Linked DNA regions of Saccharomyces cerevisiae S288C. The gene in region 1 interacts genetically with each later gene. Each region holds a gene or a part of one and is shown in the gene's direction. Other genes may lie near its edges.

Region 1 (6,378 bases):
TGTCTGCGGTGGATCCCACCAGGGCCCTATCGGTTTCAGGTACTGGAGAAATCCAGGAGCCTGGGGGCCAGGCATCATCTCCAGTGATAAAAGTGAAGGCCGTTTTCTCGGATGGGTCTCCTCCTTGATTAATGCTGCATTTACGTACCAAGGTACTGAACTGGTTGGGATCACCGCTGGTGAAGCGGCTAACCCAAGAAAGACCGTTCCAAGAGCTATCAATAAAGTCGTCTTTAGAATCGTACTATTCTATATTATGTCTTTGTTCTTTATTGGTCTACTGGTTCCATACAACGATTCCCGTTTATCTGCTAGTTCTGCTGTTATTGCATCATCACCCTTCGTTATTTCCATTCAAAACGCTGGTACTTATGCTCTTCCAGATATTTTCAACGCCGTGGTGTTGATTACTGTTGTATCTGCCGCTAATTCGAATGTTTACGTTGGTTCCCGTGTTCTTTACTCTTTAGCTAGGACTGGTAACGCACCAAAGCAATTTGGATACGTCACCAGACAGGGTGTTCCATATCTCGGTGTTGTTTGCACTGCTGCATTGGGTCTTTTGGCATTCCTGGTTGTCAATAACAATGCAAACACTGCATTTAACTGGTTGATCAACATTTCCACTTTGGCTGGGTTATGCGCCTGGTTATTCATCTCTTTGGCACATATTAGGTTCATGCAAGCTTTAAAGCACCGTGGTATTTCTCGTGATGATCTGCCCTTCAAGGCCAAATTGATGCCTTATGGTGCCTACTACGCAGCCTTTTTTGTCACCGTCATCATATTCATCCAAGGGTTCCAAGCGTTCTGTCCGTTCAAAGTTTCTGAGTTTTTCACATCTTACATCTCCTTGATTCTTTTAGCCGTTGTGTTCATTGGTTGCCAGATATACTACAAATGCAGATTTATTTGGAAGCTAGAAGATATTGACATCGATTCCGACAGAAGAGAAATCGAAGCAATTATTTGGGAAGACGACGAGCCTAAGAATTTATGGGAGAAATTCTGGGCTGCTGTTGCATAGTCACAGAACCTCTTGCATGCCTTCAAAATAGAAAAAAATAAAAAAATAGACGTTTCATTAATCAAAATAGCCTGTAGAGATTTTGAGGGATTGCCCCAAACTTTATGTATAATATCACCACTTATTATTCACTATTCATAGTATGTTACATCATAAGGCCATTGTCACCTTCGGCCAGCGATAGTACTCAAATCTATAATAAATTTTCCATATTATCCTTTACGTACTTGATAGCGTGTATAACAGGGTCATTATTCACGATATGTTCAACTGTTGTCATTTTCGTGTTATTGCACTGAAACAAAAGAACCCTACCAAAAAATTCGTTAGAGAAAAACTAAAAGTACAAGATCTTATACTGAAGACCCTTCATTTTTTAGGCCCAACTTCTATATTAAGAAGATCCCTGGACCCTGCTAGAAATTTTCAATTAGCTTATCATTTTTCTTCATTGCGAGCGTTCGTTTTCATTAAGCATTCGTTCTCTTCACTATGCATAAAGCATCCAGTTCAAAGAAAAGCTTTGATGATACTATTGAACTAAAAAAAAATGAACAATTACTGAAACTGATCAACTCTAGTGAATTCACCCTTCACAATTGTGTGGAGTTACTGTGCAAACACTCCGAAAATATTGGTATACATTACTATTTATGTCAGAAATTGGCCACATTTCCTCACAGCGAACTACAGTTCTATATTCCCCAACTAGTACAGGTCCTCGTCACCATGGAGACAGAATCAATGGCTTTAGAAGATTTACTATTAAGGTTGAGGGCGGAAAACCCTCATTTTGCACTACTGACGTTTTGGCAGTTACAAGCGTTACTAACGGATTTATCTACTGACCCCGCTTCTTATGGCTTCCAAGTGGCTAGAAGAGTCTTAAACAACTTACAAACCAATCTCTTTAACACAAGTTCAGGTAGCGATAAAAATGTTAAAATACATGAAAACGTTGCACCGGCCTTAGTTCTTTCCTCTATGATAATGTCGGCTATAGCATTCCCCCAATTAAGCGAAGTGACCAAACCATTAGTGGAATCTCAAGGTAGAAGACAAAAAGCTTTCGTTTTTAAGTTGGCTAGAAGTGCAATGAAAGATTTTACCAAGAACATGACCTTGAAAAATACCCTACTAAACAAGAAAACTTCCAGATCCAAAAGAGTTAGCTCAAATCGCAGTTCAACTCCGACTTCTCCAATAGATTTAATAGATCCAATAAAAACTAAAGAAGATGCATCCTTCAGGAAATCCAGACATAGTGAGGTAAAATTGGATTTCGACATTGTGGATGATATAGGTAACCAGGTCTTTGAAGAAAGAATCTCATCTTCAATCAAACTCCCAAAACGTAAACCTAAGTATTTGGATAATTCATACGTTCATAGGACATATGATGGCAAAAATATAAACAGGGACGGAAGCATTTCAAATACCGCAAAGGCTCTCGATGGAAATAAAGGTGATTATATTTCTCCAAAGGGACGTAATGATGAAAATAATGAGATTGGTAACAATGAAGATGAAACTGGTGGTGAAACGGAGGAGGACGCGGACGCTTTAAACTCTGATCACTTCACCAGTTCTATGCCAGATCTGCATAATATTCAACCAAGGACTTCTTCTGCTTCATCTGCTTCTTTAGAAGGGACACCTAAGTTAAACAGGACCAATTCCCAACCCCTTTCGCGCCAGGCATTCAAAAACAGTAAAAAAGCGAATTCTTCTTTGAGTCAAGAAATTGACTTGTCGCAATTATCGACCACTTCAAAAATAAAAATGTTAAAAGCAAATTATTTTCGTTGCGAGACACAATTTGCCATTGCGCTAGAAACAATATCTCAAAGGCTAGCTCGAGTACCGACAGAAGCTAGATTGAGTGCCTTACGAGCCGAGTTGTTTCTATTAAACAGGGACCTACCAGCGGAAGTAGATATCCCCACTTTATTGCCTCCAAATAAAAAAGGAAAGTTACATAAATTAGTGACCATTACTGCTAATGAGGCACAAGTTTTGAACTCTGCAGAAAAAGTTCCATATTTACTCCTGATAGAATACTTGAGAGACGAATTTGATTTTGACCCAACAAGTGAAACCAATGAAAGATTATTAAAGAAGATCAGTGGTAATCAGGGAGGCTTGATATTTGATTTAAATTACATGAATAGAAAAGAAAACAACGAAAATAGAAATGAAAGTACTCTTACTAGCAACAACACTCGATCTTCGGTATATGATAGTAACTCGTTCAACAACGGGGCCTCCCGCAATGAAGGTCTATCCAGTACCTCAAGAAGTGATTCAGCGTCCACAGCTCATGTTAGGACTGAAGTCAATAAAGAGGAAGATTTAGGTGATATGTCAATGGTAAAAGTCAGGAACAGAACGGATGACGAAGCGTATAGAAATGCTTTAGTAATACAGAGTGCCGCAAATGTTCCAATTTTACCTGATGATAGTCAAGACAGAAGCCCAGAGTTGAACTTTGGCTCAAACTTGGACGAAGTACTCATCGAGAATGGAATTAATAGCAAAAATATACATAGCCAAACTGACGCTTTAGCAGACCAGATGAGAGTTTCAGCTGTTATGTTAGCACAATTGGATAAGTCGCCACAACAGTTATCAGAAAGTACCAAACAAATCCGCGCTCAAATTATTTCATCAATGAAGGAGGTGCAGGATAAATTTGGTTACCATGATTTGGAAGCCCTTCATGGAATGGCAGGTGAGAGAAAATTGGAAAACGATTTAATGACGGGTGGTATTGACACTTCATATCTAGGTGAAGATTGGGCTACCAAGAAAGAGAGGATACGTAAAACTTCGGAATATGGCCATTTCGAAAACTGGGATTTATGTTCTGTAATCGCCAAGACGGGTGATGATTTGAGACAGGAGGCGTTTGCATACCAGATGATTCAAGCGATGGCCAATATTTGGGTTAAAGAAAAAGTTGACGTTTGGGTTAAAAGAATGAAAATTTTAATTACTAGTGCGAATACGGGACTTGTGGAGACCATCACAAATGCTATGTCTGTGCATAGTATTAAAAAGGCTTTAACCAAAAAAATGATTGAAGATGCAGAACTAGATGACAAGGGTGGTATTGCCTCTTTGAATGATCACTTCCTTAGAGCTTTTGGTAATCCTAATGGATTTAAGTATAGAAGAGCACAAGACAACTTTGCTTCTTCGTTAGCCGCATATTCTGTCATTTGCTATCTCTTGCAGGTTAAAGATAGACACAACGGTAACATTATGATCGATAACGAAGGCCATGTAAGTCACATCGATTTTGGATTTATGCTATCAAATTCACCCGGCTCAGTGGGCTTTGAGGCCGCACCATTCAAATTAACTTACGAATATATTGAACTGCTAGGCGGAGTAGAGGGAGAAGCGTTTAAAAAGTTTGTTGAACTAACTAAAAGTTCGTTCAAGGCTCTGAGAAAGTATGCTGATCAAATCGTATCAATGTGTGAGATTATGCAAAAGGACAATATGCAGCCTTGTTTCGATGCTGGCGAACAAACAAGTGTACAACTACGACAAAGGTTCCAATTGGACTTATCAGAAAAAGAAGTTGATGACTTCGTAGAAAATTTCTTGATAGGTAAATCTTTGGGTAGTATTTACACCAGAATATACGACCAATTTCAACTTATTACACAGGGTATATATAGCTGAGAAGGAAAATAGCTGTGACAGAACTGGAAAAACAATTTGCAAATGTCCGGAGAACAAAAAAATTGGAATTTTAGTAAAAGGAATATACATATATTTATTTATTGCCGAGAATAATAGAGCAGCTGACTCAGAAAAAGCAAGGTAAAAGAATGAGAGTAAAATAAATATGTGGTTAATTAACCATACATATAAATTATTATCTTATTTTCTGCGTAAAGCGTCAAACCGTTTCTTCAACTCATCTAGTTCATCATTTTCTTGCTCCTTCTTAGTCTTTCTTTTTGTAGTTTTCTTTTCTGATTGTTTCTTTTCGATCACTTCCTTTTTGATATCTTTCGGAATCTTGAGCTCGTTCTTGATATTTTCACTATTCTGCCTAGGCTTTTTAACAGTGATAGGGTGTTTAGCATCTGCATTGTCATTATCGTCATTATCTAAGGCTAAAATAGGCTTTTCTTCGTCATTATCCTCGATATCTCCCGAGGGGTCACTAAAGTCTGAAGAAATGTTAGAAGACGACGAAGATAAGGAATTCTCCAGCTTACTATATGGCACATCGTATGTTTTCGCGATTTCCTTCAAATAAAGATCAACTAGTTCTTCTTTTGGAACTGAGGGAGAGCATTTTTTTATAATCTTTTCAGGGACATCGATATGATCTGCTATTACTCCATTAACAAACTCAACGTTTATTTTCCAGGCCATCAAATCTTTCAATTGGCTAAGTTCTTTGACTTCATCAACGAAAAGAATCGCATAGATTAGGGATCTGATAGCTTCGTTAATACCATCATCCATATGCTCTTTGACAAGCTGTTCCTCGGTGGAGATATCGTTTATTACCTGCACTCTAGCCAGTAGTAATTCACAATATAGTTCCAATATCTCTAGTAGCTCAATATGAATATCGTCATGAATTAGCGTCTCCACACGATAATGCGCCTTCTGTTCTTTATTTGTCAGTAACAGTTGTGCAACCTGTCTTCGAGACTGCTTTGCAATCGCCTGTTGCTTTTCTTGAGCATATCTTAACCTTTGAATACACATTTTCAGGCATGTTTTAAGCTTGATCTATAACAATAATTTGGATGATAGTTTTACCCTTCTTCAGTTAGTACATCCTAGATCTTTTGCATACTAAAGCTTTTTAAAAATTACTATAAAATATAAACATACAGTGAACGGAATCATTGACGGAGCCATTTTTAGTTGTCGTATTCTCTTATCTATCTTCTATGTTGACTAGTTCTGATTGATTAGCTGGAACTAATAGTATATATAATTTTCACACCCTTTGGAATTCAGAAGGCGTTTTTTTTTTCATGAAACAAAACAATAGAGTGCGGATAGCCGATTCAGTTGATTCTAAAAGTATATAAAATGCGATAAGCGCATAAGCAGCCATTATAAACGTACATCTGAGTCTAGATATATACGTTTGTGTAGCGGGAAACGTTAAAAAAAAAAATCTTAATTATAGTTTATCAAATGACCATATCAACAGGATATTTTAATTCGTCATGTTGGCCCTTGGTGTCATATTCACTTAATCCGACAATGCCTCCAAACTTTAAAAATCTATCAAAACGTTTCAATCGTAAATCGTCAACTTTCTTAACCATATCTGGCCAATAGACTTCATGTTTATACTTGAAGTC
Region 2 (4,239 bases), on another chromosome or scaffold:
GAAAGTTGAAAGATTCCTATCGTTACTGATAAATATTGGCGATCATCCTAAAGATATTTATGATGCGTTTGATTCTTATTTTAAAGACGAATATCTGACAATGGAAGAGTATGGTGATGTTATACGTACCGTTGCTGTTACAACTTTTCCTACTATTTTGCAGGTACAAATCCAAAGAGTTTATTACGATCGTGAAAGATTAATGCCGTTTAAATCCATTGAGCCCTTACCATTCAAAGAAGTTATTTACATGGACAGATACGCGGATACAGAGAACCCTTTATTGTTGGCAAAAAAGAAAGAAACAGAAGAAATGAAGCAAAAGTTGAAGGTAATGAAAAATAGACAAAGAGAGCTTTTGAGTCGTGATGATTCAGGGCTTACAAGGAAGGATGCATTTTTGGAGAGTATCAAGCTATTGGAATCGGATACCATAAAGAAAACTCCTTTAAAAATTGAGGCTGCTAATGATGTGATAAAGACGCTGAGAAACAACGTTCAAAATATCGATAATGAATTGATGAAATTATACAATGATATCAACAGTTTGGAAGAGAAAATAAGCCATCAATTTGACGATTTCAAGGAATATGGTTACTCACTGTTTTCGGTTTTTATTCATCGCGGCGAGGCCAGTTATGGTCACTATTGGATATATATCAAGGACAGAAATCGCAATGGAATTTGGAGGAAGTACAATGATGAAACCATCAGTGAGGTCCAGGAAGAGGAGGTCTTCAATTTCAATGAGGGTAACACTGCAACTCCATATTTCCTAGTATATGTCAAACAAGGACAAGAAGGTGATATTGAGCCATTGAAAAGAATTCTAAAGTAGTCTTAGTCAATGAAGAGTTTATGTAAAATGTCACTATTGCCATAAGTACCATTATTATGTAAAAAGCTTTGCCATATTCAATCGTTACGGGTGACTATCTGCTACGTAAAGAAAAACGAAAAAACAAAAAAAAAAAGAACAAGCTCATAGAAGTGAATACGAAAGCTGAAGAAAGTCGTTAAGTAGATAGGTTGCGTAAACTAGGTGCGTCCAATCAAAGTAATCCAATTAGATATACTGGACTATAATTAAGATGTCATCTGAAAGCCCACAGGATCAACCACAGAAGGAGCAAATCAGCAATAACGTCGGCGTTACCACCAATAGTACAAGCAATGAGGAAACAAGCCGCTCTCAAGATGATAATGTCAAGGAAGTCAATGGAAATGATGATACTAAAGAAGAGGAACAAGAAGAAGACGCAGAACTAGATGATTTATTTGGAGATGACAATGATGACGATGATGATGATGATGTTAAAAAATCGGAGACTGAAAAAAGTGATAGTGATAGTGATGAAGACGACGAGGGAGAGAATATCAACCATAGAAGTCGTCATAGAGAAAGTCTCGGGTTAGATGATGATGAAGCAGAGGAGCAAGCCATGTACACCCGAAAATTTTATGGTGAGGATGCTAATAACTTTTCTGATCAAGATGAGACTACTCACACTTTTAAAGAGGAAAATGTAGAGCTTGTCAGACATATTATTCCAAGTAAAGCTAATGTGAATGAAACGGCGTCTCACAACGAAATTTTCTATGCTAGAATTCCCAACTTTTTAACTATCGATCCAATTCCTTTCGACCCTCCAAGTTTTGAGGCCAAAGTAAACGAAAGGGCAAGCAATTCAGCTTCTAGGGAGGATCAACTGGACGACCGCCTGATTGATGAAAACACTGTTAGATGGAGATACTCTCGTGACAAAGACCAACATGTCTTTAAAGAATCAAATACACAAATAGTGCAGTGGTCAGACGGTACATATTCGCTAAAAGTTGGTGAAGAGTGTACAGATATATTGGTCAACGATACGAGCAACACTTTTTTGACAGTATCGCATGACCAACAAGAGTTGATCCAGTGTTACGAAGGGGGTGAAATAAAAAAGACGTTGATGTTTATTCCAACTTCGACGAATTCAAAAATACATCAAAAACTAAGTAAAGCTGTTATAAGAAGGAACCAAAGACAAAGCAAGGGTCCTGGAACATACATTGTAAGTATGGATCCTGAAGTGGAAAAGAAGGAGTTAGAGAGAAAGCAAAGCCAGATTTTAAGAGACAGAAGGAGAAGACAGCTCAAAGAAAAGGAGAAACAAGAATCCCCAGATGCCGCTTTTGAGACGGGATTTAGAAAGCAAAATTCACCCACTACCTATGGAGCCTCGAGAAGAAATGAATATGAAGAAGATGACTTTTTAGTCGACGACGATGAGGAAGAGGAGGCTGCGTTTGACGACGAAGAGGATGATAATGAGGAAGAAGAAGAAGAAGAGGACGCGGATGAAGAGAACGCCTCTCGTCTAAGAAATTTAAAAAGAGAAGGAGCAGCAATGTACAGAGAAGAGGAAGAAGAAGAAAAAGATAGGAGCGAGACAAAAAGAAGAAGGGTTGCGGTCATCGAGGACGACGAAGACGAGGATTAGAGGAGACGTTACTTTGTTTATATATATTAGTATGTACAATCGCAAAGAAATGGAGTGATGACATGTTGTAGTATTTAGTATGAGGTTACTGTGTGGGAGGTTTTACCATGATTTTTGGCGAGAACACGCCATGAAATGTCTTTGTACGAAACTCATTACCCGCATTAATATTTTTTTTCTTTTTAAAGCTCAGTTGACCCTTTCTCATTCCCTTCTTAAAACAACTGTGTGATCCTTGAGAAAAGATAAATTACATACACAACATAAACCCAACTACGATCGCAAATTATGTCTTGGCAAGGTATGTGAACGAGACAATTATCAATTGATTAAGAAAGAAATGAGTCGGAGGTTAGCTTGTGTGACAATGTTTGGCAATGCCCGATTTTTGTTGATGCGCGTAATTTCGAAGATTAACCACTCAGAGTAAATTACTAACTGGAATATCAAAAAACATATGAAATTTCAAACATGAATTTCTTTCCGTTTTTTTCTCCTACTTTTAAACAGCATACACTGATAACTTAATAGGAACCGGTAAAGTCGACAAAGCTGTCATCTACTCGAGAGCAGGTGACGCTGTTTGGGCTACTTCTGGTGGCCTATCTTTGCAACCAAACGAAATTGGTGAAATTGTTCAAGGCTTCGACAATCCAGCTGGTTTGCAAAGCAATGGTTTGCATATTCAAGGCCAAAAGTTCATGTTGTTGAGAGCTGACGATAGAAGTATCTACGGTAGACATGATGCTGAGGGTGTTGTTTGTGTAAGAACTAAGCAAACCGTTATTATTGCTCATTATCCACCAACCGTACAAGCCGGTGAGGCCACCAAGATTGTCGAGCAATTGGCTGACTACTTGATTGGTGTTCAATACTAATTTATGCAGGTAAAGTTTTCTTGCCTTATACACCACCTATTCTGGCATCTGCGGGATTTCGCTTCCTATTTTACAAATATTTTATTGATTGACGCTAATTATCACTGTAAAAGGCGCACTTTTTATATGTAGTCACATCCGGTATTTAACATATTTACGAAACAGTCTTAAGAATATCGACATTTGATATACTTATGTTTAATTTATCTACATATTACAATCATACGAGAAACACGCAAAAACAATTACTTGAATACTTCGAAAGGAGACCAATTTGGATGTACAACCCTTTTTTCGCCCTTTTCCTTCGATATGTTATTGATAGCTTCAAAGTCCTCAGTAGACAAAGTAAATATTTTCCTGTTCGTTTTGATTCGATCGGGATTCACAGATTTTGGCAAGACAACATAACCTCTTTGGACGTGCCAGCTAATAACAACGTGTCCGGGTTGAACGTTATTTTTCTTCGCAATTTCAAGGATAACCGGTTCCTTCAATAGTGGAGCATCGGTACTACCTAACGGAGAATAAGCTTCAACCACAATGCCTTTACTTTTACAAAAATTAATCAATTCGTCTTGAGGTAGTAATGGATGTATTTCGACTTGGTTAGCAGCTGGCGTAAGCTTATTACCTTGAGATGCTAATAGATCTTTCAGGTTATTTATAGAAAAGTTGGAGACTCCAACGGCCTTAGTTTTACCAGTCTTTGGTAGTTCCTGCATTAATTCCCAGGTTTTGATGAAATTCCAATTGGTGATATCCACTGCACGAGAACCATCCTTCTTTGTTGGCACACTCAAGATGTCTTCATTTTTGATGTAGGCTGGATCTAATCTGGCAGGCCAATGCATCAAATATAAGTCTACGTAGTC
Region 3 (5,633 bases), on another chromosome or scaffold:
TACATGGCATTTAAATGAAGATGTGATGACAAATGTACTTAAATTGCTATCCGAGTATGGATCCAATTTGAAATTTGTCGATCAATTTGTTCGCTCATCAGTTAACAAGGGGCTAGAACCTTTATCAAAGCAATTAAAAACTCTAACATTAACGCCACCAACGTTAATGCCCACCCATAACAGTGTAAGCGGTTCTTATTTGAATAAAATTGATCGGTTGCTCTTGAAGTGCGATCTATCTCGATTAGAAAAACTTTCCATTCATATAAACGCATTGAAGTACTTCAAAAATACCGGGTCTCCTATGAAGATCAAAGCATTGGTATTAAATTTGCGACCCGACACACTTAACCTTGCGGAGTACGACGCTTCCGATGACTTCTTAAAAGAGCTAGAATACATCGACATATTTGATGCTTCCACCTTAAGGCAGCTAGAGATTTTGTCTTGGTACAGTCGCGACGATTTTCCCTCTGGCGAAGAAGGTGGTTTTGACAGGTTATATGTCAAATGGGGGCTAGAAGGATTTTGGAAATTTCCGAACATTGAGAAACTATCATTAGCGTCATTGGTTTACAGCGAATTTTTTCTAATGAATTGTTTGGCTGTGTTTCACAATTTAAAGATACTGAAACTTGATTACATGGGTAAATTTGACTTCGATGTGTCGTTGATTAACTTCTTATCTAAACAAGTGTGTGGCAAAAAATTACAGCGTTTTGACATACACTGCCAACTAAATCACAGGCTTTTTTTTCCCATGACAGATAACCCACTAACTCGCTTGAATTTCGATGGTTTCTGCCCTTGTTCAACTTGCAAAAATACAATTCACGAGGTCATTCTAAAAAAAATCTTTCCTGAAACCCGGTCAAAACTTTTAAAGAACCCAAATAAGTTCCAAGCCCATAATTTCTTTTACCAAATGTTTTTCGAGAACAAGATCATGCCCTATACAAACATTATTGACAACGAATCACCTGCGATGGGATGGGATTCTGTACCTATTGAAACGTTTGTACGAAAGTTCAATGAAAATCTGCAAAGCACCATAGAAAATACTGAGAATATTACAGTGAATAAAATTACTAGAGAAGATGCCATTAGTTTGTACCACTTATACCTTCATTATCTAAAAGACGTATTTAAAGTTTTTGAGCAAAGTTTGCCGAACTTAGAATATCTAACCATCAACGGTATACCTACAAAAATAATACAAGTGGACGAGTTACAACGATGCGCGGTTCCCCTCTTCTATAATAATGGCTATAAAAGCAACTCTGTTTATGAATTGGTGGACGCAGAAGCTCTATTTAGTTGATACTGTGAGACATGGCGGTTATAACACGTACATAATGATATATACTCTAAATACTGCAAATTGTCAACAAGAGGAAATCAAAACAAATGGATTGTATAGTCTAGTTAGAGCTTTCTCAGTGTTCTCACTGGATTGCAGTGATGTGACATAGTTCAATAAAACAAATTATGAGCAATAAAAGCAACCGCAGGAGTTTACGTGACATAGGGAATACGATTGGTCGAAATAATATACCAAGTGACAAGGACAATGTCTTTGTGAGATTGAGTATGTCCCCTTTGAGGACGACAAGCCAAAAAGAGTTTTTGAAACCACCTATGAGGATATCACCTAACAAGACAGATGGAATGAAGCATAGTATACAAGTAACACCAAGAAGGATTATGTCGCCGGAATGTCTGAAGGGCTATGTCTCTAAGGAAACTCAAAGCCTGGATAGGCCTCAGTTCAAAAATTCGAATAAAAATGTGAAGATCCAAAACTCAGATCATATAACTAATATAATATTCCCTACATCACCAACCAAACTGACATTCAGTAATGAAAATAAAATCGGGGGTGATGGTTCGTTAACGAGAATACGGGCCCGGTTTAAGAATGGACTCATGTCACCTGAAAGGATACAGCAGCAACAGCAGCAACATATTCTCCCATCGGATGCCAAAAGCAACACTGACCTCTGTTCTAATACTGAGCTCAAGGACGCCCCATTTGAGAATGACCTTCCTCGAGCTAAATTGAAAGGGAAGAATTTATTAGTTGAACTCAAGAAAGAAGAGGAAGACGTGGGAAATGGCATAGAATCCCTTACTAAATCGAACACTAAACTGAATTCCATGCTGGCGAACGAAGGTAAGATACACAAAGCTAGTTTCCAGAAAAGTGTAAAATTTAAACTACCTGATAATATAGTGACTGAAGAAACCGTGGAACTTAAAGAAATAAAGGACTTGCTACTACAAATGTTGAGAAGACAGCGAGAGATTGAATCAAGATTATCCAATATCGAACTTCAACTCACGGAAATACCGAAACATAAGTAATCATATCCCTTCTCACATTTTTTACACAGGAAGTAAGCAAGTTATGTTATATTTCCGACACTATAATTAATTCTTAGCAGTTAAAGGTGCTTTGTCTATATTACATTTACATACAGCTTGAGTGATCCTGACCGGATATAGGGTCCTATTTTCTTACGTGAACGGCTTTTCTTCTTGTTCCCGATGGCCTTCATGTGAAAAAGCACTCCTCGGGAGGCGGAAAAATATCAAAAGTACGGGGCGAAGTTTATAATGAAGATTTATCGATATAAATTTTGGTTATTTCAGGAGAACAAGAAAGCTCTTTACACTAAAATTATCAGAGAAGAAGCTGATATATTAGCCCTAAGGAGTACACCAAAACACAATGAATATTGTCAAATTACAAGTATGTATGCCTTTCTCGAATTCCCACACTGCTGAGCACAGTGAAAAAGTTTTTTCTACCTTTTAGGTTGTAATAAACGTTTCATATACTAACAAACTCTTCTGCGATTAGAGAAAATTTCCAATTTTGACTCAAGAGGATCTTTTTTCCACAATTGAAAAGTTCAGAGCCATTGACTTAGATGATAAAGGATGGGTTGAAAAACAGCAAGCTCTAGAAGCGGTGTCCAAAGATGGTGATGCTACTTATGACGAAGCAAGAGAAACCCTGAAGCATGTGGGTGTGGATGCGTCAGGCCGTGTTGAACTGGACGATTACGTCGGGTTGGTTGCAAAATTAAGAGAATCTAAAACAGGAGCTGCTCCACAGACCACTTTCAACGTAGCACCTAACTCAACCCCTATTGTTTCCACTGCTGCCACAGGACTACAGCACAAGGGTAAGGGTACTCAAGCCAAGATTATTGTTGCTGGCTCCCAAACAGGTACTACACATACCATCAATGAAGAAGAAAGACGTGAATTTACTAAACATATCAATAGCGTCTTGGCGGGAGACCAAGATATAGGTGATTTGCTTCCATTTCCTACTGATACTTTCCAATTATTTGATGAATGTAGGGATGGGTTGGTGCTATCTAAGTTGATCAACGACTCTGTTCCTGATACTATCGATACAAGAGTTTTGAATTGGCCTAAGAAGGGTAAGGAATTGAATAATTTTCAGGCTAGTGAAAATGCTAATATTGTTATTAATTCTGCAAAAGCCATTGGTTGTGTCGTTGTTAATGTTCATTCCGAGGACATTATTGAAGGTAGAGAGCATTTGATCCTGGGTTTGATTTGGCAAATTATTAGGAGAGGTTTGTTAAGTAAAATTGATATTAAGCTGCATCCTGAGTTATACCGTCTATTGGAGGATGATGAAACGTTGGAGCAATTTTTGAGGTTGCCTCCGGAGCAAATTCTACTACGTTGGTTTAACTACCATTTGAAGCAAGCAAACTGGAACAGAAGGGTTACCAATTTTTCAAAAGACGTGTCTGATGGTGAAAACTATACTATCTTGTTGAACCAGTTGGACCCCGCCTTGTGTTCTAAGGCACCATTACAAACCACAGATTTAATGGAGAGAGCTGAGCAAGTTTTACAAAATGCTGAAAAGCTAGATTGTAGAAAGTATTTAACCCCAAGTTCATTAGTTGCGGGGAACCCTAAATTAAACCTGGCTTTCGTGGCACATCTATTCAATACACATCCTGGATTAGAGCCTATTCAGGAAGAGGAAAAGCCTGAAATTGAAGAATTTGACGCCGAAGGTGAGAGAGAGGCAAGAGTCTTTACCTTATGGTTGAACTCTCTTGACGTTGATCCACCTGTCATTTCGCTGTTTGATGATTTGAAGGATGGTTTGATATTATTGCAAGCTTACGAAAAGGTGATGCCCGGTGCTGTTGATTTTAAACATGTCAACAAAAGACCGGCCTCGGGTGCAGAGATATCCAGATTCAAAGCCTTAGAAAACACCAACTATGCAGTCGACTTGGGCAGAGCCAAAGGATTTTCTTTGGTTGGTATCGAAGGATCTGATATTGTAGATGGTAACAAATTACTGACCTTAGGGTTAGTGTGGCAATTGATGCGTAGAAATATTTCGATAACCATGAAGACATTATCCTCAAGTGGTAGAGACATGAGTGATTCTCAAATATTAAAGTGGGCCCAAGACCAGGTAACTAAAGGTGGTAAAAACTCTACCATTAGATCATTTAAGGACCAAGCTTTATCAAACGCCCACTTCTTATTGGATGTTCTGAATGGTATCGCGCCGGGCTATGTTGATTATGATCTAGTCACCCCTGGTAACACCGAGGAAGAAAGGTACGCAAACGCAAGATTGGCTATTTCTATTGCTAGAAAGTTGGGTGCTTTGATTTGGTTGGTGCCAGAAGATATCAACGAAGTTCGTGCAAGATTAATTATTACTTTTATCGCTTCGTTAATGACTTTGAACAAATGAGCCAACAAACAACTTTCGTAACCTGTTTTCTACTCAGCTTTCTTGTTCCAATGCTCCGTTATACGATTGGTTAAGTGTACAACAATATATAGCCTCAAGTATTTCTGAAGTTTTTAATATGTAATAATAGATTTCAACTTCCACCTACTTTTATTCGTGATTACTGAGCCATTGTAAAAATGCCTCCAACGCTCAATGATTCCGTTGTCGTCTTCTATCATGCCTCTACTGGATTAAAAAATCGTAAATAAACTACTTATTAAGCCATATATCCTGTGAACTTTTTTTCATATACATCCAAGGTTCTTTGAAATATGCAGAAAATGTACGTGATAGTTAAGCTTTTAGGCATCGAACATTTCCGGACAATTGCACCCACATCCAGATGGGCACTCATCACCAATCTCCCACCATATCCTCGCGCACGAAGAGTGTAAAACATGTTGACAATTTCCACATATGAAGCTACTTCTTGTCACTCTTAAATCACAGTAATTACAATTTCGGGCTAGGAATTTTTCTTCTCCAAACTCGTTGTTCTCGATCCAGTGCGTAAGTACACCATTGTAAGGACTTTTCTTGTTATTGTTAGGGGGGATGCCTTGGGAACTATAAGAACTTCTGAAATCAGTACTAACTTTTAGAATTTTGACCCTTTCTAAAGGCAGTCCCCATCTAAAAAGTAACTTTGAATATTGATAAATATAAGTTTGGAACTTTGGTATGTCTGATACCTCTAAATGTAAGAGGTCTTCTTGTTCATAAGCTTCTATAATATCGTCATGTAAAAGCTCGACTTTGATGTCAGGCATTCTACTATGAAAAGGGCTGGATGAAATGGCACGGCTGCCCTGCTTTTGGG
Region 4 (4,326 bases), on another chromosome or scaffold:
AATACCAGATAATTTTAATGCCCACCTACAAACATCTAGCCTCAATATTCTTCACCTGAAACCAGCTGAATAGTAATATACCAATATTCTTTCAACGATTGATATAATTATCATCATGAACGGAAAAGATGACGCGATTTTCCAGTATTTTTTTCTTCCTTTCGTTCTAACGTTTGCGGTAAGCAAAGGAGAGTAGTAATTAGCAAACAGTTATAAATAGAAAGCCTCTCTAAGATTATAGATATATAGTCATACTAAAGCTTGAGATCTCATCTTTTTCGAGAACCTACCGGCATATTAAACTGAAGTAAGACATCATTCTGAGGAAAGGATCGGTATTATAACCATTATTATTTGTTGCACTTTATTACTATGTGGTCGAAAAAGTTTACATTAAAAAAGCTAATCTTAGGCGGGTATTTGTTTGCTCAAAAGGTCTATTGTGAAGACGAAAGTAACTCTATATACGGTACCTGGTCATCTAAATCAAATCAAGTGTTCACGGGACCGGGGTTTTATGATCCCGTAGATGAACTATTGATAGAACCTTCATTGCCCGGGCTTAGCTATTCGTTCACTGAAGATGGTTGGTACGAAGAAGCTACTTACCAGGTAAGTGGCAATCCTCGTAACCCAACTTGCCCCATGGCTTCGTTGATTTATCAGCATGGTACATATAACATTTCAGAAAACGGTACGTTAGTTCTGAATCCTATTGAAGTTGACGGTAGACAACTATTCAGCGACCCATGCAATGATGACGGAGTTTCGACTTATTCTAGATATAACCAAACAGAAACTTTCAAGGAATATGCCGTAGGTATAGATCCTTACCATGGTATTTACACCCTGCAATTGTACCAATATGATGGTACTCCAATGCAACCACTATATTTGGCTTATAGACCACCAATGATGCTTCCAACAGAAACTTTGAACCCAACATCGTCAGCGACCAGCACTGACGACCCATCCTCTAATAAGAAAAGATCACTGAGAAGTTTAGTGAGGAGGAGCCTGGAAAACAGACACAAGACGAATGCCATTAAAAGACAAAATACCTCATTTTTAACCTCCAATGCCATTTGGTATATTTCTGCGGGTATGCTAGGTGTAGGTTCATTATTATTTTTAGCATTTTAGGCGCACTACAGGGATACTTATTCAACCAATGGGGGAAAGAGGCCCCATGTGGCCTTCAAATAAATATTAAAAACTATAAACATATAAGGCAAAACAACTTTATCAGGCGAGAAAGAGAAGCAAGAATAGGTGTAATTTTATGCACCCAAGGAATTGATTGTAATCATATTATTAAATAAGGTGGATGAATAAAAGATTTTCAAACCAGTTTTTCCGAGATAGTTAATTATGTACGAGTGACAAATGGGATATCAATCAATGAACACAATCAAAACACCTTATTATGACTTTCTTGTTATATTCTTATATACATAACCAACATTTAAATGTCAATTTCTTCAGTTTCTAGCCCGCAGTCTGTACATCTTCTTCTTTGAATTTGATAACCGTCTTCATCAATACCTCCATCAACTGGATCACTAAAATGATGAATATGGGCTTTCCCATGCTTCTTTTCTCTTAATCTATTAGTATATTCTTGAGCTCTTGTTTTCAGTCGCATTTCCTTGATTTTCTTTTCGTATTTTTTCTCCCTTCTGTGAGCCTTTCCTTCTTCACGACGTTGCCATTCCTCATCTAAACCTTCTTCTCCACCCCATTTCTTGAACGCAAAGGCTTCCACTTCACATCTAACAAATAGTTGCATTCTTGCAAATGTCCCCGAATGAGGGTTCGGCTTTTCTAGTCTATGAAAGAGATCCTCATCATTCAATTCGGGGTCTGTTAAAAAGTAATCTTCCTTACATTCTGTTTTCGTCAGTAGTGCATACTTTTCTGGATGCTCCTTAGAACACTGTTTACAAACTTGTAACTTGAACACATCATGTAGCACAGGATCCATCTCAATATTAATATGACATTCAATACATTTCGGCGCCTTTGAAATATGCTCTGGAGGAGGTGCATTTTCGTACAGCATTTTCCGTTCAAGTTGTTCCTTTTTCCAGTCCTGTAGTGTCTTCTGCTTTTTAGATCCAAACTCAGATTCAAATTCTTGGTCATCGGTAAAGTCAGAATTTGGAAGCTTGTCCTTAGGGTTGATATAACCACCATTCAAGTTCTGCATGGTGGCAAAATCGTACTCAATGTAATCTTGTTTCCTTATGCTAGGTCTGATTCTATCCGTTGGCCTTTTGTCGAGTACCGACGCATCCCTTTTACTTCCATCAACTACTCCGCTACCATAAAGTGAAGTAGTGTTAGTGTTAGTGTTAGCAAGCGCAGACGGTTGTCCATTATGATTTGGCACATGTACTGCGGCTGCTGCATTATCATCCCGATTGCTGCCACTAGTAACTGCGAGAGGCCGGGTTTTTAAAGGTTCATTCCTACTTTCTATTCGATTCAATTGGTCGCTACTCAGTATTCCCCTTTTTCTTAACCGTTCTATTGCTAATTTCCTGTTAGCCTCCTGCACAGCTCATCTCATCGTTAAATTGTTAGTAAAAAGAAACCCACGGTTAAAATACAAACACAGAATCATTTTCACACATACTAGTTTGGCCTTTTGTTCGGGAGTCATAGCGTTACGTTCGATACCTTCACTACGAAGATCCAAACTCTTTTTCTAGTTCCGATAAATTCCTTACCTTCTTTTCACTTTCCTCTTTTCTCCCTACAACTTAGCAAACGTCAAACATGCTGTAGATAGAGCTTCTATAGAAGTACAGTTATTCAAACAAAAAAAAAAAAAAAAACAAGGGTTGTGGAGTATGCCACTAGCAGTCTGCTATGTTGATTCTGCTTATTATCAACGAAGTATCCCATTATGATCTTATGCAATGCACATTCCTGCCCTTACGCTCCAGGGCAGAATCGAACCACGGCCCTCGTATAAGCCGCAAGGAAAACTACCGGTGCTATCGTTCTCGTTTGGATGATTTTCAGTATGGAAGAATTTGGATAGATCTGCAGCGCCATGGTATATAAGAGAAAGAAGCGGTAACGTTTGACACTGGGTTCAGATCTCTCTTGTCGCTCAATCAAACTAAGACTAGCCCAGACCATTATAGCCATGAAGTTTTTCCCACTCCTTTTGTTGATTGGTGTTGTAGGCTACATTATGAACGTATTGTTCACTACCTGGTTGCCAACCAATTACATGTTCGATCCAAAAACTTTGAACGAAATATGTAACTCGGTGATTAGCAAACACAACGCAGCAGAAGGTTTATCCACTGAAGACCTGTTACAGGATGTCAGAGACGCACTTGCCTCTCATTACGGGGACGAATACATCAACAGGTACGTCAAAGAAGAATGGGTCTTCAACAATGCTGGTGGTGCGATGGGCCAAATGATCATCCTACACGCTTCCGTATCCGAGTACTTAATTCTATTCGGAACCGCTGTTGGTACTGAAGGGCACACAGGTGTTCACTTTGCTGACGACTATTTTACCATCTTACATGGTACGCAAATCGCAGCATTGCCATATGCCACTGAAGCCGAAGTTTACACTCCTGGTATGACTCATCACTTGAAGAAGGGATACGCCAAGCAATACAGCATGCCAGGTGGTTCCTTTGCCCTTGAATTGGCTCAAGGCTGGATTCCATGTATGTTGCCATTCGGGTTTTTGGACACTTTCTCCAGTACTCTTGATTTATACACTCTATATAGAACTGTCTACCTGACTGCCAGGGACATGGGTAAGAACTTGTTGCAAAACAAAAAGTTCTAAGCTGCCCGACCTCACGAAATCAGTCATGCGGTAGTCCATTATAATATAACTATTATTATTATTACTATTACTATTATTATTATTATTATTATTATCTATTGTTTATATTCTCTTTAGCTTTTTATCACCTACGACGACGGATATATTCGGCGTTTGCAAAAAGTGAAAAAGGCGTCTTTTGGTGGACATGAACTCAATCTTCAATTCTTTGAAAGCGGTGTATGCGTATAAGGCCTTTTAACCATCGTGCAAAACAATAAAAGACTACCAATAACCGACGTGAATCATGTCTGCACCAACTCCATTAGCAGAGGCCTCTCAAATTCCCACTATCCCGGCCCTTTCTCCTTTGACTGCGAAGCAATCCAAGGGGAATTTCTTCTCCTCAAACCCAATATCTAGCTTTGTTGTGGATACGTACAAACAATTGCATTCTCACAGACAATCTTTGGAGCTGGTCAATCCCGGTACCGTGGAAAACCTGAATAAGGAAGTCTCCC

Evidence for each region.
Region 2: mutations in PIK1 (region 1) and PFY1 are lethal when combined (synthetic lethality), as found in Saccharomyces cerevisiae (2 studies listed by BioGRID, with this or other methods).
Region 3: mutations in PIK1 (region 1) and SAC6 are lethal when combined (synthetic lethality), as found in Saccharomyces cerevisiae (2 studies listed by BioGRID).
Region 4: mutations in PIK1 (region 1) and ERG2 are lethal when combined (synthetic lethality), as found in Saccharomyces cerevisiae (2 studies listed by BioGRID, with this or other methods).

What each region holds. Positions count from the first base shown.
Region 1 is NC_001146.8:139,359-145,736, forward strand, and holds PIK1 (1-phosphatidylinositol 4-kinase), read left to right. Parts: upstream 1-1,519; coding exon 1,520-4,720; downstream 4,721-6,378. Other genes in the region: LYP1 (lysine permease), read left to right, coding at 1-1,027; IST1 (Ist1p), read right to left, coding at 4,922-5,791, 5,897-5,923; PDR17 (phosphatidylinositol transporter), read right to left, coding at 6,205-6,378. UniProt on the Saccharomyces cerevisiae protein: Acts on phosphatidylinositol (PI) in the first committed step in the production of the second messenger inositol 1,4,5,-trisphosphate. PIK1 is part of a nuclear phosphoinositide cycle and could control cytokinesis through the actin cytoskeleton.
Region 2 is NC_001147.6:551,423-555,661, reverse strand, and holds PFY1 (profilin), read left to right. Parts: upstream 1-2,774; coding exon 2,775-2,787; intron 2,788-2,996; coding exon 2,997-3,364; downstream 3,365-4,239. Other genes in the region: ubiquitin-specific protease UBP2, read left to right, coding at 1-838; Paf1-complex subunit LEO1, read left to right, coding at 1,092-2,486; glycerol 2-dehydrogenase (NADP(+)) GCY1, read right to left, coding at 3,610-4,239. UniProt on the Saccharomyces cerevisiae protein: Binds to actin and affects the structure of the cytoskeleton. At high concentrations, profilin prevents the polymerization of actin, whereas it enhances it at low concentrations. By binding to PIP2, it inhibits the formation of IP3 and DG.
Region 3 is NC_001136.10:712,478-718,110, reverse strand, and holds SAC6 (fimbrin), read left to right. Parts: upstream 1-2,731; coding exon 2,732-2,752; intron 2,753-2,863; coding exon 2,864-4,771; downstream 4,772-5,633. Other genes in the region: YDR131C (uncharacterized protein), read left to right, coding at 1-1,321; FIN1 (Fin1p), read left to right, coding at 1,489-2,364; MTC5 (Mtc5p), read right to left, coding at 5,116-5,633. UniProt on the Saccharomyces cerevisiae protein: Binds to actin, and functionally associates with actin structures involved in the development and maintenance of cell polarity.
Region 4 is NC_001145.3:664,380-668,705, forward strand, and holds ERG2 (C-8 sterol isomerase ERG2), read left to right. Parts: upstream 1-3,157; coding exon 3,158-3,826; downstream 3,827-4,326. Other genes in the region: ROT1 (Rot1p), read left to right, coding at 373-1,143; DNA repair protein RAD14, read right to left, coding at 1,466-2,554, 2,639-2,665; TOM complex pore protein TOM40, read left to right, coding at 4,113-4,326. UniProt on the Saccharomyces cerevisiae protein: C-8 sterol isomerase; part of the third module of ergosterol biosynthesis pathway that includes the late steps of the pathway. ERG2 catalyzes the reaction which results in unsaturation at C-7 in the B ring of sterols and thus converts fecosterol to episterol.